Drosophila melanogaster: one gene and its partner. The protein of the gene in region 1 purifies or fractionates together with the protein of each later gene. This does not show direct contact. Each region holds a gene or a part of one and is shown in the gene's direction. Other genes may lie near its edges.

The links.
Region 2: the proteins of Liprin-alpha (region 1) and wrd purify together in Drosophila melanogaster (affinity purification with western blotting; one study listed by BioGRID). This does not show direct contact.

What each region holds. Positions count from the first base shown.
Region 1 is NT_033779.5:6,722,285-6,726,940, forward strand, and holds the start of Liprin-alpha (Liprin-alpha), read left to right. Parts: upstream 1-1,618; 5' UTR 1,619-1,800; exon of another isoform or gene 1,801-1,893; 5' UTR 1,894-2,109; intron 2,110-2,542; 5' UTR 2,543-2,563; coding exon 2,564-2,812; intron 2,813-2,873; coding exon 2,874-2,975; intron 2,976-3,491; coding exon 3,492-3,845; intron 3,846-3,917; coding exon 3,918-4,019; intron 4,020-4,088; coding exon 4,089-4,256; intron 4,257-4,314; coding exon 4,315-4,434; intron 4,435-4,656. Other genes in the region: homer, read right to left, coding at 1-146, 513-526.
Region 2 is NT_033777.3:18,171,250-18,178,885, forward strand, and holds wrd (well-rounded), read left to right. Parts: upstream 1-1,594; 5' UTR 1,595-1,700; intron 1,701-1,876; 5' UTR 1,877-2,035; coding exon 2,036-2,941; intron 2,942-3,290; coding exon 3,291-3,795; intron 3,796-4,083; coding exon 4,084-4,280; intron 4,281-4,353; coding exon 4,354-4,688; intron 4,689-4,754; coding exon 4,755-4,985; intron 4,986-5,057; coding exon 5,058-5,450; intron 5,451-5,555; coding exon 5,556-5,799; coding exon of another isoform or gene 5,800-5,844; exon of another isoform or gene 5,845-5,992; intron 5,993-6,653; coding exon 6,654-6,797; 3' UTR 6,798-7,126; downstream 7,127-7,636.

The sequences.
Region 1 (4,656 bases):
CGACACTGATGATGCGGTACAGATTTCGCGAGCTGTCGTAGAAGAAGCTAACGTTGACCGCCTTCATGCTGGCCGTGATCCAGGTGCGCTTCGTCTTCGGATCGATGTGGAAGACGTGCGCCTGGCAGGTGAAAATCGGTTGTTCGCTAAGGGTCATAAAGGGATTAAAGCGACAAGCGTGTGATTAATTAAAAATTCCATTTAGAGCAGGCAATAAATTGTGCTTCTGTGCTCGTGTGAGTAAACTATGGCAAAGCATTCTTTTACTGTGGTTTATTAGTCAACAGGCACTGTGTAATGCATTTATAATTAGTAGTCCTTAAGTCCCAGGATAATCCTCGTGGTCCTTATTTGATAAAGTAGGTCGATATATGTTTGTTTTTTGCGATCTGGCCTGATGCAATGACAGTTTGTTGCGGGGCGCAGGGCCCCCATCAAATCAATTCCGTATCCGTGGTAGCCTCCAGTGCCTTTATTTGTACACATATACATATATATATCTTATCTATTACCTATCCGCCGACATCGTTCGCTGAGCTCTATAACTTGTGTCTTCCCGTTATCGCTGGCGACTGTCGACCGCCGACTAAATTGCATTATGTGCTAAGCCTTTTCCGCAGCCTTGCTTGTGATTTTTGATTCTCGGGCGGAAAACACGCACGCACACACCTGCACAGTCACACACACCTGCACACCCACACACATGTAATTGGCCTGCCCACGCGTGTGCGTGTGTAGGTGTATGTTTGTGTACATATATATGTATGTATTTACGCCGCCCGCTACACACAGAACGGCAGCAACAACAACAACATCATAGGGGGGAGATGTCAGCTAGTTCGGCGTCGATTTTTCCCACAGTAAAAACGGCAGGTTTAGGCCGGTTTGGCCGCGCCCATCGGTCTTACCCCATTGTATTCGTTCTTTGGCGCTGACTGAGTGCTTCCGCAGCAGTTTATACCAATGCTAGTCGGTTTTACTTATGAATTTCACGGTTAAAAAAAATAAAACACAAATGTCTAGAGCTGGAACCAAAATCGATGTTTGTATGGTGCTATCGATGTTTTTACTGGCTCAACACCATCGATGATTTATTTATTAGCTTCCAAGCATCGATAACACATGAGCTCGTATAAGAGCAATGATTCTTATCGAATAATTTAATCGCTGTAAAGCGAATTGCAAATTAATTAAGATAAATAAATACTAAATATGTTTGTCTGTAAGGCACCATAACAATGTAATTTTTTCAAAAACATGTGTAGCTGTTGAAGCATTGCATTTAAATGACGGAAGTTACAAAATAATTTCAGATAAAAGTGATAAGTTTTTTTGACTGTCTAGTTGTGCGCCTACATGTAGTTTGAATATTTGTTAGATATGGTTTTCTTTGTGCGGTGTGGCAGCATTAGTTTTAGTACACATTTTTCTAATACTTGACGATAGGTCAAATGGCAACTCCTGATCGGCAATAATATTTGCATATAATTTAGCTTTGAACATAAATAGACTGCCACAAAAACTTTAAAACAACACATTTTACTTCTATATTTTTTGGACGAAATAGAACCACTGAAAAAATTCATGAAATGTAGTACATTTTGTAGTGAAGAACCAGGGTTGGTTTACGGATTTTAGCCGTTTTGCCATCTGGTAACACTGACCAGTTTCTCATCGTTAAAAAATCCATTTGGAATTCGGTTTATTTAATTAAAAGCAGCCGGGACACCTATGCGAAGGGCAAAAAGCGGCCAGAGTTGTTGTTGCTGCTGCTGCCCAGCCGCCGTGCGATCGATCGGGGTACGTGTTCCGGCGTAACGAGGAGTACGAGGCGATTTTCTCGCAGCCTCTTTTTTTTCACACGAACGCCGTCCCACTAAACCGAAATTTCAGGTGAAAAACTCATTGGAACGCATTTAAAAGCGGCGTAAGCTCGCACCTGCTGCTCGTTTAACCCTGTTTCGGGTATATGTGATTGCAAAATGCGACAGCGACACACCTAGGCACACAAAATATGCCAGTTATGCGAAAGAGAAAAAGTACTGTGCCTGTGTGCGTGCGCGTGTGAGTGTGTATGCCGTGCGTGTGCCCCCGCCTGCGACAGTGTGCGTATGTGTTGGTGTAGAAAACTTGTTATCAATGCGGCGCCTATGATAAGTCTCATTAGACATGTTTCTCCCACTATGCTGGGTATTTCAATTGGAATGGCTAGCGAACGTGTGTGTGTGTAGTAAAATATCCGGACTCCATAGAATGGACATTTTGTATGAATTAATTGAATTTACTTTATAAATTCAATTAACATAAAGAATTTGATTTTATGCAGAAGAAGCTACAGCATTAAGTATCTCCCATATGCGGAATCACAGACAAAAATTCAATCACGCCAATTCATTTATGATCAAGGATCAAATTCAAGAAACTTTAGAAAAACGCGTCTAGTTTTTGTGCTTCGGTAACAGCGATAGTGGTACAATCTCCGCACAAAATGTACCTACAGCCAAAATCCTGTAACCTTTATTCCCCTCTCTGTCTCGCACAGTCTGGCGGCCCCAACTAAATAATGTGGAACATGATGTGCGACGTAATGCCCACGATATCCGAGGATAGCATCTCGCAGCGCTCCTCGCAGTTTAGCGGGGAGGATGCCAACTTTGAGCAGCTGATGGTCTCCATGCTGGACGAGCGGGACAAGCTGATGGACAGCCTGAGGGAGGCGCAGGAGCGGCTTAACGAGACGGAGAACAAGCTGCGTGACGTCGAGAAGGAGCGGGACAGCCTGCAGCGACAGATTAACGCTAATCTGCCGCAAGTAAGTGGCCTCTGCATGCTGATACCGCAGTTTACCTAAAATCTTTTCCTGATCTTTCTAGGAGTTTGCCACCCTGACCAAGGAGCTGACGCAAGCGCGGGAGACCCTTTTGGAACGTGACGAGGAGATTGGGGAGCTCAAGGCGGAGAGGAATAATACCAGGGTAAGTGATTTTCGAAAATTTAGATCCTTGGTATTTCAATTACTGAGACAATTGAGTAATGGTTAGATCAGGTAGATCATGACAAGATTTGCTAGACTAATTTATTAATTTAGGTATTATAGCCATTGCTAAATTACATATCCCATTGTTATTCAAACAAGAAACAGTTGTAGGTACTTGCTTTTGCGAATTAGTCACATATACCGGGAACAATACAAAAGTTTACTCTGTCCGTCTTCATTTTTATTTCGAACATGGCTTGTCTATTTGTTTACTTATCAGTGACTATACAAACATTGTTACAGCCTTTTAAGAATTAGTTCTTTGTATTCACATCCGTCTTAAACCATAAAAAGTGAAGTAAACTGTATTTATAAGTCCTTTCCGCTTCATTGAATATCAAGAAAATCAGTTTTAATTAAATTTCTACGGTAATTTTACTTTTAAAGAGACAATTTAAACGTCGGTTACTGCGTGAAATAATATATTTTTAATGATCTAACTTGACTATTTCAGCTTCTCCTCGAACATCTGGAGTGCTTGGTGTCCCGCCACGAGCGTTCCCTGCGTATGACCGTTGTGAAGCGACAGGCTGCCGCCCAGAGCGGCGTCTCCAGCGAGGTGGAAGTGCTCAAGGCGCTAAAGTCGCTGTTCGAGCACCACAAGGCGCTGGACGAGAAGGTGCGCGAGCGGTTGCGGCTTTCCATCGAGAAGAACAACATGATGGAAGAGGAACTCAGCTCTGCCAAGGAGGAACTGGCCCAGTACAAGGCGGGCGTGGTGCCAGCTGGCGTGGGCAGTGGCAGCGGAGCAGGGAGTGCCGCAACCACCGCCGGTGGTGGGGGCGCCGAGAACGGGCTCAAAGAGAAGGTGCGTTCCACATTCGAAATGCAGTCAAGCATGTCCGGTTTAATATATCTCTTCTATTTTCCAATACCCTAGATGGCGGGCGTGGGCGGATCTGGTGGCGTTAATGGCGAGGCAAATGAGCTGAACGACTACGCAGCCAAAACCCACGAGCTGCAAACCATTATTGAGAAGCAGGTGAAGATTGCGGATCTGTTTCCAGTCTGCATATGGTGAACACTTTTTAAAACGCTCTTTCCTTGTCAGACCTCGGAACTTTCACAATGGCAGCGACGCGTTTCTGATTTGAACAACAAGATTAGTGAGCTTGAGGAGAACATGTCGCGAGTGCAAAAGGAACACTGCAAGGCCCAAGACCAGTGTGCCAAGCTGCAGCGGGATCTGCGCGAGAATGTTGCCCAGAAAGAGGATCAGGTGAGTGAATAATACTCACAGCATGGTTTCAGTTTTTTACTTATACGTTCATTTTTAGGAGGAGCGCATTACCACATTGGAAAAGCGATACCTGAATGCTCAGAGGGAGTCTACATCGTTGCATGATCTCAACGAGAAACTCGAGCAGGAACTACGGCATAAAGAGGCGCAGCTCAAGGTGGGTAAAACCAAGGAAATTACAGCTTATGGTTAAGGCAGGCATACATATCTTTACTTTTATTCATGAGGATCGATTTTTTTTTATTATATTTCGATAAGCGCACAGTCCATTTGTTCAAAAAAATCCATTGATTACTCATTACCTTACTGTAAAGTTATTTCCAATTGAATAGCAGATAAATTTTTCATGATCTTACAAGTCAAGCAATTATCGCTAGTA
Region 2 (7,636 bases), on another chromosome or scaffold:
ACTCAGACTAAAACACACCCACAGGCAGCTCAACTTAGGCGTCAAGGATTCGCACAGTCCAAGGTAAAAGCGATGGCCGGCCAAAATGGCAGCGAGGGACCATCCCGAACTGAACTGCTTTGCTCTGATTTTGCAAGTGCTACGTTTTGAGTATGCTTTTTATTTGACCGCATATTGCTTTGCATTCGTTGTTAAAATTATTTTCATTTACTAAGCATAAGCCAAACCGTTGACATGGGAAAAGATAATCAGATAAGTGTCATTTATGCCCCTTTGCAGGCTAACAAACTCAAGGACAACACACCACCGTACGATGCACCGCCGCCCACGCCGATCAGCAAGGTCCTGAACATCACCGGCACCCCGATCGTTCGCAAGGAGAAGCGCCAGACCAGCGCCCGGTACAATGCCTCCAAGAACTGCGAACTGACGGCCCTCATTCCGCTAAACGAGAGTGAGTAGCCTTGGAGTAGATCCTACTACTTAGTATATTACTTTATAATACATGTACTGCCAGCTGTTCAGATCGATATCTCTTAAGCCTGCAGATCGGTTGCATGGGGTAGAACTTGGTCGTAGCCATGTCGTAGCATACATTTTAGGGCAGGGTTCCGTTTAGGCGATATAAAATTACCTTTCTTACTGTCTACCAACATCGTCAATTAAGTTTTTATGCAACTATACACTCAAAACAGATTGTATAAATCGTAGTAATTCCCATTAACGATGCATAATTACATATATTATGTCAATTAACTCCGGTAAATTTCCATGATTATAAGTTCAGCTTTAACTTACAAGAGGCATTCTCTGTAAAGTGTACCTACGACCTGCAAGCTTGTTGGGAATATTGATTGGCCGGCGCTTGATTAATTTCGCTCAGCTGTTGTAATTTGTTTATTATTTGTTAAAGTTAAAGGTCAAGGGAGTGTCGTCTGATTAGGTGGGTGGCAACACTGACGCACGGCCACTCACACATGTGAACCAAGCAGCCGCATCAATTCACACCTCTCTCCACCTCTCTCACTCACCGGAATTTCAACACATGCGCTCTCTCCGCAGCCTCTCATTACACTGGGAGAAAGCATCGTTAGAGGATTTCTCAGACCGTCTTAAATTTCATATATACACCGGCATTTCTTTATGACACAAATGTATTCGATTGATTTAAACTTGTGTATACAAATAATTAGAAAAACTGTATCCTGCAGGGAATTAATTTAAAAAAAAGCAAATTCAATATTTTTGAAAATCATATATGTACATATCTGCGCGTAATGATTATGAAATTGCTACACTTTTTTTTTCTGTGCAGCATGAATGTCATCGCATTGCGTTATTCACATACCTTTCTGCTAATTGCTTGGGCGGTTTCGACTCACAAATCGAATAAACAAATTTCGCTTGTTCAATACTATTTTATTTTATTAGGTTTTATTGTTATTGTGGCTCGCTCGCCCACCAGCCCACTTTCTCTCTCTTTATTTTCTCTCTGTCTGCTGCTCACCAAATTTCTCTCCATTTCATTCTCTCTCGATATCGATTTTTCCGATTGGCGCAGCAGTCGAAGCAACAAAAAAAAAACCGTTTCAAGACCGTGAACGTCGTGTGCCCCGAAAACTTTAATATTAGTTGAAAATATTCGTTTCCCAAGTTAATTGCTCTCCTATCCTATTCCCTCATTTGTTCCCATTCGAACCGTAAGTTTTTCCACGTAATTATGGCCATTTGTGAGGCAAAAGAAGAATTTTAGCAGAGGCGTTGTCATTTCCATTTTCATTTCCAATTGCATTTCATTTCGTTTTGTGTTACCATCAGCGCATAATCGCATTTGGCGTTAATCTAAACCATTATCTATATTGCAATTCCATTACAGATTCTATAGTTTCATACTTAGCGTGCCCAAATTGAGTTTCTAGTGTAGTCTTTCTCATGTGTTGTTGTTGGTCGGCGGGGGCGGCTGGTAAAAAAAACAAGCGTTCCGTATCAAGATTAAAACCGAGTGCCATTTGCTCCAAGTGCCGGCACTAATGAGATGGTCTTCGGTGCTATGTTGCTGACGGGCAACGGGCTCAAAGGTCCCAAACAGCAGCAACAGCAACATCAGCAGGAGCCGCAGCAGCAGCAGCAGCAATCGCAACAGCAGCAGCAAGAGCAAAAGAAACCGGCGCCCATTAAATCCTCCAGCAAGGAGCAGGAAACGCAGCCCATTGCAGCCGGGTATTATGCCCTCGGCATACGCATACCCAAATCTCCATCGTTTCACAGCGGCCTAGATCAGCTGGCCGACGACGAGTTGGACGATCAGGTGCAGGATCAGCAGCAGGAGCAGCAACAGACCGGCAGCCGATTCAGGTTTAGCAGCGTGGAGGAGCTAAAGGCCAAGTTCGAGGGGCGGAAAACGCCCCTCTCACCGCCAGAGGCAGCAGCAGGAGGAGCAGCCGGATCCGGAGCACCCACCACATCCTCCTCACCATCGTCCTCGTCCACCAGCTCCAATTCGTCGGCCTCGGCCCTGTCCTCGCTTTCACAGGCGGCCTCATCCTCGCTAGCCTCGGCGGCTGCTAACTCCTCGGCCTCATCCTCGGCCGCCACATACGGTGGTGGAGCGAATTCGGCTGCAGCTGCACTGATTGCCTCCTCGCCATTTGGATCGCAGTCCTCCACTTCTTCGCTCTCGCTATCCTCGAATGCCGGCATGTCGAAGAACGCGGCAGGAGCAGGATCTGGATCTGGATCTGGAACAACGTCAACGGGCGCTGCTAGCGGCAGCAATTCACTTGTGTCCACTTTGGCACAACATTTCTCGGCGGCCACATCCGCCGCAGCATCGGCGGCAGCCGCTGCGGCATCCTCTGCCTCGGCGGCGTCCTCCTCGTCAGCTTCCTCCTCATCCACCGCCACCAACAACGCAGCCAGCAGCTCCATCGCCGCCAGCAAGGTTTGCAGCTTGGTCTTGTCCACATACACACACACCCAGCGATCTGAAAACCCAAAACATAACCACATCACCACCTCCAAGTACAAACCACAAATTTTACACTTTCTTCCAAACTTTCACTAATTGTGTTAGCTTTTTGGATAACGATAACTAAGTTTCAAAGAAAAAAATAACAATTCAAGTACCTTGTTAATCAAAGTTTTATTTACATTGTACGCTAGAAGCTAATACATTTAGTAGCATCTCACACACTATCCACCAACACTAACTCCATCCCAATTGAACAAACCGAAATTTGATAAACCAAAACCATACTCTGCTCTCATTTCATCGCTTCCTCATCATCCAGTCACCTGTGAGCGCGGCCGCGGCCATAAAGAACATACTGAATGCCACCAAGAGTGTGGGTACTAGTGCTGCGGCGGCGGCAGCAGCGGCGGCCACCTCCTCCTCATCATCCCCATCCTCTGCGGCGGCTGTGCCGTCGTCCGCCGCCACCGCCGTCGCCGCTGTTCCCACCACCAGCGATGTGCCCGCAGAGGAGATGCGTCCGACGGTGGCCCAGAATCTGGTGGGCGGCATTAGCATCTCATTGGGAATTGGCCAGCGCAATGGCGGCGCAGCACCTGCGTCATCAGCAGTAATGGTGACACCTAACGCCACCATGGTGGTGACCACATCGAGCCTAAGCATCCGGCAGAACGGTGACATACTGCCGGGTCATCCGGCGGGTCTTCAGCCCTCGCCCCAGACGCTCCAACAGCTGACGGGCAGTCCGGGAAGGGCTCGCGACCGGAATCTATTCTACACGCCACCCACCGCTTCGGTTGCCATGGCGCTGCCTGCACTGCGAGGTTGCTATCCCGAATGGATCCGGGCCAATGGCGATGGATGGAGCCATTCCAGCCATTGCCCTTGGGCCTGAGGTCCTCCGGCTACTTGATCCTTTCTTCCGATCTTCATTATGTTCGTTTTGAGTTTCGCTTGCCTGCTTTTGGTTGGTCGTTTTTGTAGTTGTAGGTTTTTTTTTTTTAATTTTATATTAAGGTCAATTTTATATGGCTTACATTTTGTTTGATATATCTATCACTTATATTATATATTTAAAAAAATTAATGATGATTTCATTTGTATTTCCATAGAGACCGCCGCCAGTGAACGTGAGGAGCTGTTCATACAGAAGATCCAGCAATGCTGCACACTGTTCGACTTCTCCGAGCCGCTCAGCGACCTCAAGTTCAAGGAGGTGAAGCGGGCGGCTCTGCACGAAATGGTCGATTTCCTCACCAACCAAAATGGCGTAATAACCGAAGTTATTTACCCGGAGGCGATCAATATGGTAAGCTACTAATTTACATATTTAAAATAATATCACATGCTTTTACCACAACATACTTATCTGTTCTCATCAGTTTGCTGTCAACCTTTTCCGAACTCTGCCGCCATCGTCCAACCCGAATGGTGCCGAATTCGATCCGGAGGAGGATGAGCCCACGTTGGAGTCCTCGTGGCCGCATCTGCAACTCGTTTACGAGCTGTTCTTGCGCTTCTTGGAGTCACCAGATTTTCAACCAAGCATGGCAAAACGTTTTATCGACCATCAATTTGTATTACAACTATTGGATTTATTCGATTCGGAGGATCCACGTGAACGTGATTTCCTGAAGACTGTTTTACATCGCATCTATGGAAAATTTTTGGGCTTGAGAGCATTTATTAGAAAGCAGATCAACAATGTCTTTTACAGGTGAGCTCGTCATTGGAATATCTATAAGGTTAATGCCTCACATTACTAATCGCATTCCACATTTAGATTTATTTATGAAACGGAGCATCATAATGGCATAGCCGAATTGTTGGAAATCCTGGGTAGCATTATCAATGGCTTTGCTCTGCCGCTTAAGGAGGAGCATAAACAATTTTTACTTAAGGTATTGCTGCCATTGCACAAAGCCAAGAGCCTCTCGGTCTACCATCCGCAGCTCACCTATTGTGTGGTGCAGTTCCTGGAGAAGGATCCTAGCTTATCGGAGGCGGTCATCAAGTGAGTAAAGAATTCCTTATTTTGCGCATTTTCTAATTAGCCTATCGCTGCCATATTTCAATATTCTTGCAGAAGCCTACTTAAATTTTGGCCCAAGACGCACAGTCCCAAGGAGGTTATGTTTTTGAACGAGCTGGAGGAGCTGTTGGACGTAATTGAGCCGGCCGAGTTCCAGAAGGTGATGGTGCCGCTGTTCCGCCAAATAGCCAAGTGCGTCTCTTCGCCTCATTTCCAGGTGGCCGAACGTGCGTTGTACTATTGGAACAACGAGTACATTATGTCGCTGATAACGGATAACTCGGCGGTGATATTACCCATTATGTTCCCAGCGCTCAATCGCAACTCAAAGACGCACTGGAACAAGACCATCCATGGTCTGATCTACAATGCACTCAAGCTGTTCATGGAGATAGATCAGCGGCTTTTTGACGAGTGCAGCAAGAACTACAAGCAAGAGAAGCAGATGTATGTGTTAACTTTAGTTGATAATTAACTTCCATGGGACGATGCACTCACGTTTTATTACTTTGTACTAAACATTGGCGTTTTTTTTTTTTTTTTGCATTGCAGGGAGCGTGAGAAGCTGTCGCAAAGGGAGGAGCTCTGGCAACAGGTGGAGAGCTTGGCCAAGACCAACCCGGAGTGGACAAAGGCGCGCCGGTTTAACGACTGCCTGCCGGTCAGCGACAGCCGGGCCCTGTGCGATCAATATAGTGAGAACAGCGATTCAGCGTATGATCAGAGCGAGCAGAGGGCGCGCCAGCCGCCGCCTCCGCTGCCGCCACAGAAACAGGCGCACCAGGAGCCCCGAGAGGTGAGACAGGCACTTGCCACATTAACAACACTAAACAACTACTAATCCGCCACGTGTGATCCTGGCGTCGCTGTGAGCTGTGCCCAGCTAAGGCCCACTCTGTTTCAACTCTAATTCTAATCGAACGAATGTCTGTTAAAATAATCACACTCATGTCATTTAAAAAAAAAAAAATACATATTTGTATATCTTTAACTTTGTCTATTTATTTATTAATTATTTGGTAACCTCACTGTCTGCCAAACCAAACGCATCCATGCAAATTCATCCACGACACAACAACTTTTCTCCTGCACTTTTGGTTAACCGCATACGAATTGGGCGGAATTAATATGTAGTTTATCTTACTTAGATGTTAATTACACTTTGGTCCATCTTTTAACTCATTTGTGGTCATTTTAATGAGAGAACGCGTTCCTTTTGTAACATCAATATGATTCTCATTTATTAATTTGAACACTTAACATAATTTTCCTCAAGTGAATCACCATTTTTAAGCATGAATCCCAGTTAGAGTAAAATCTGTGCACATAACTATTAAAAACTAGTGTCAAATGTATCATGTTGTTAACAACTCAGAACCAGAAACCATACAACACTCCTCGATCTCAGACCTTTGTAACACAATTCGACATTCGGGTGTAGATGTATATATATATCGTAGTCGTGTGTTGTCCAACTGGTGGTCATCGAGTTTCCATCCAGCACCACAGCACTCGATATCGTAACGCAATCATCCCGCACCACCGTGTAACTTCACCCGCCCAGTGTGTGTGTGTGTGTGTGCTGCGATGCCTTAGTGTCAGAAGCGGGTCCATTTTCTATTGCCAAACCCCCCTTCCCGTTCCACACAGATTCGTGGCGAACGGAACAAGGACAAGCCGCTGCTGCGCCGGAAATCGGACCTGCCATCGGACAGTGGAACCGTGAAGGCGCTAAACGAGCACAAGCGGACGGATGAGTACCTCACAACGCCGCCGCCGGATGGAAACTACTAGGAGAGAGCTGGCCAGCCGACGCCACCAATATTCGTAGCTCCAATGAGGAGGATAGTCAAACCACAGAACTTACCCAAATAGACCTACACACTCCAGACTAAGGCCAGAAAGCATACATATATAGAAGCACAAGTCCAAGTCCAGAGATGAAGGATAGAATCCGCACAACTAGAGAACAAACAATTTTGAACGATGCATTTGCATTTGGGGGCTTAGAGTGGGGGCGTGGCAACGGATGCAAGCCAATTGCTATATATATATACACATACAAAATACCTATCTTTAGTGATCATGCATAGTACCAATAAAGATCAAGAATCCCCAACGAGATCGATTGTCTAGCTCCAATTTCGTTTGCATATGCATTTCAAGATTACCCTTTTGCTCCAACGCATGCCACAGTGAAGCTTAGCCCTGAATGACCTTCTTATATATATTCTTATTTCTTATATCTTTTACCCAATGCATGTTGCTGCTAGCGTTGCTTTAGCTATAGCCCTATCAATTAGATCTAATTGTGCAATAATCTGGTATCACAACTATGCTCTTACCATTTCAGTAAACGCGTGAATATAATTGTACAGTTGAATTTGAATTGTCTAACTTAAGGCGTAGGCGTTTACCACCTTGATTGAGTACATATATATCCCCCGATTTCTGCCACATGCATACATAGATAGCTATATGACATCCAGACATTCATGCCACATGCCACTATTATACACACATACTATATAAAACATGTTTACTACTCCACGACTCAAATTTGCAAATATTGTACGCTATTTAGCCTAGCAGTTAGAGCAGCATACCCATAATATATTTATATGAAACAAATC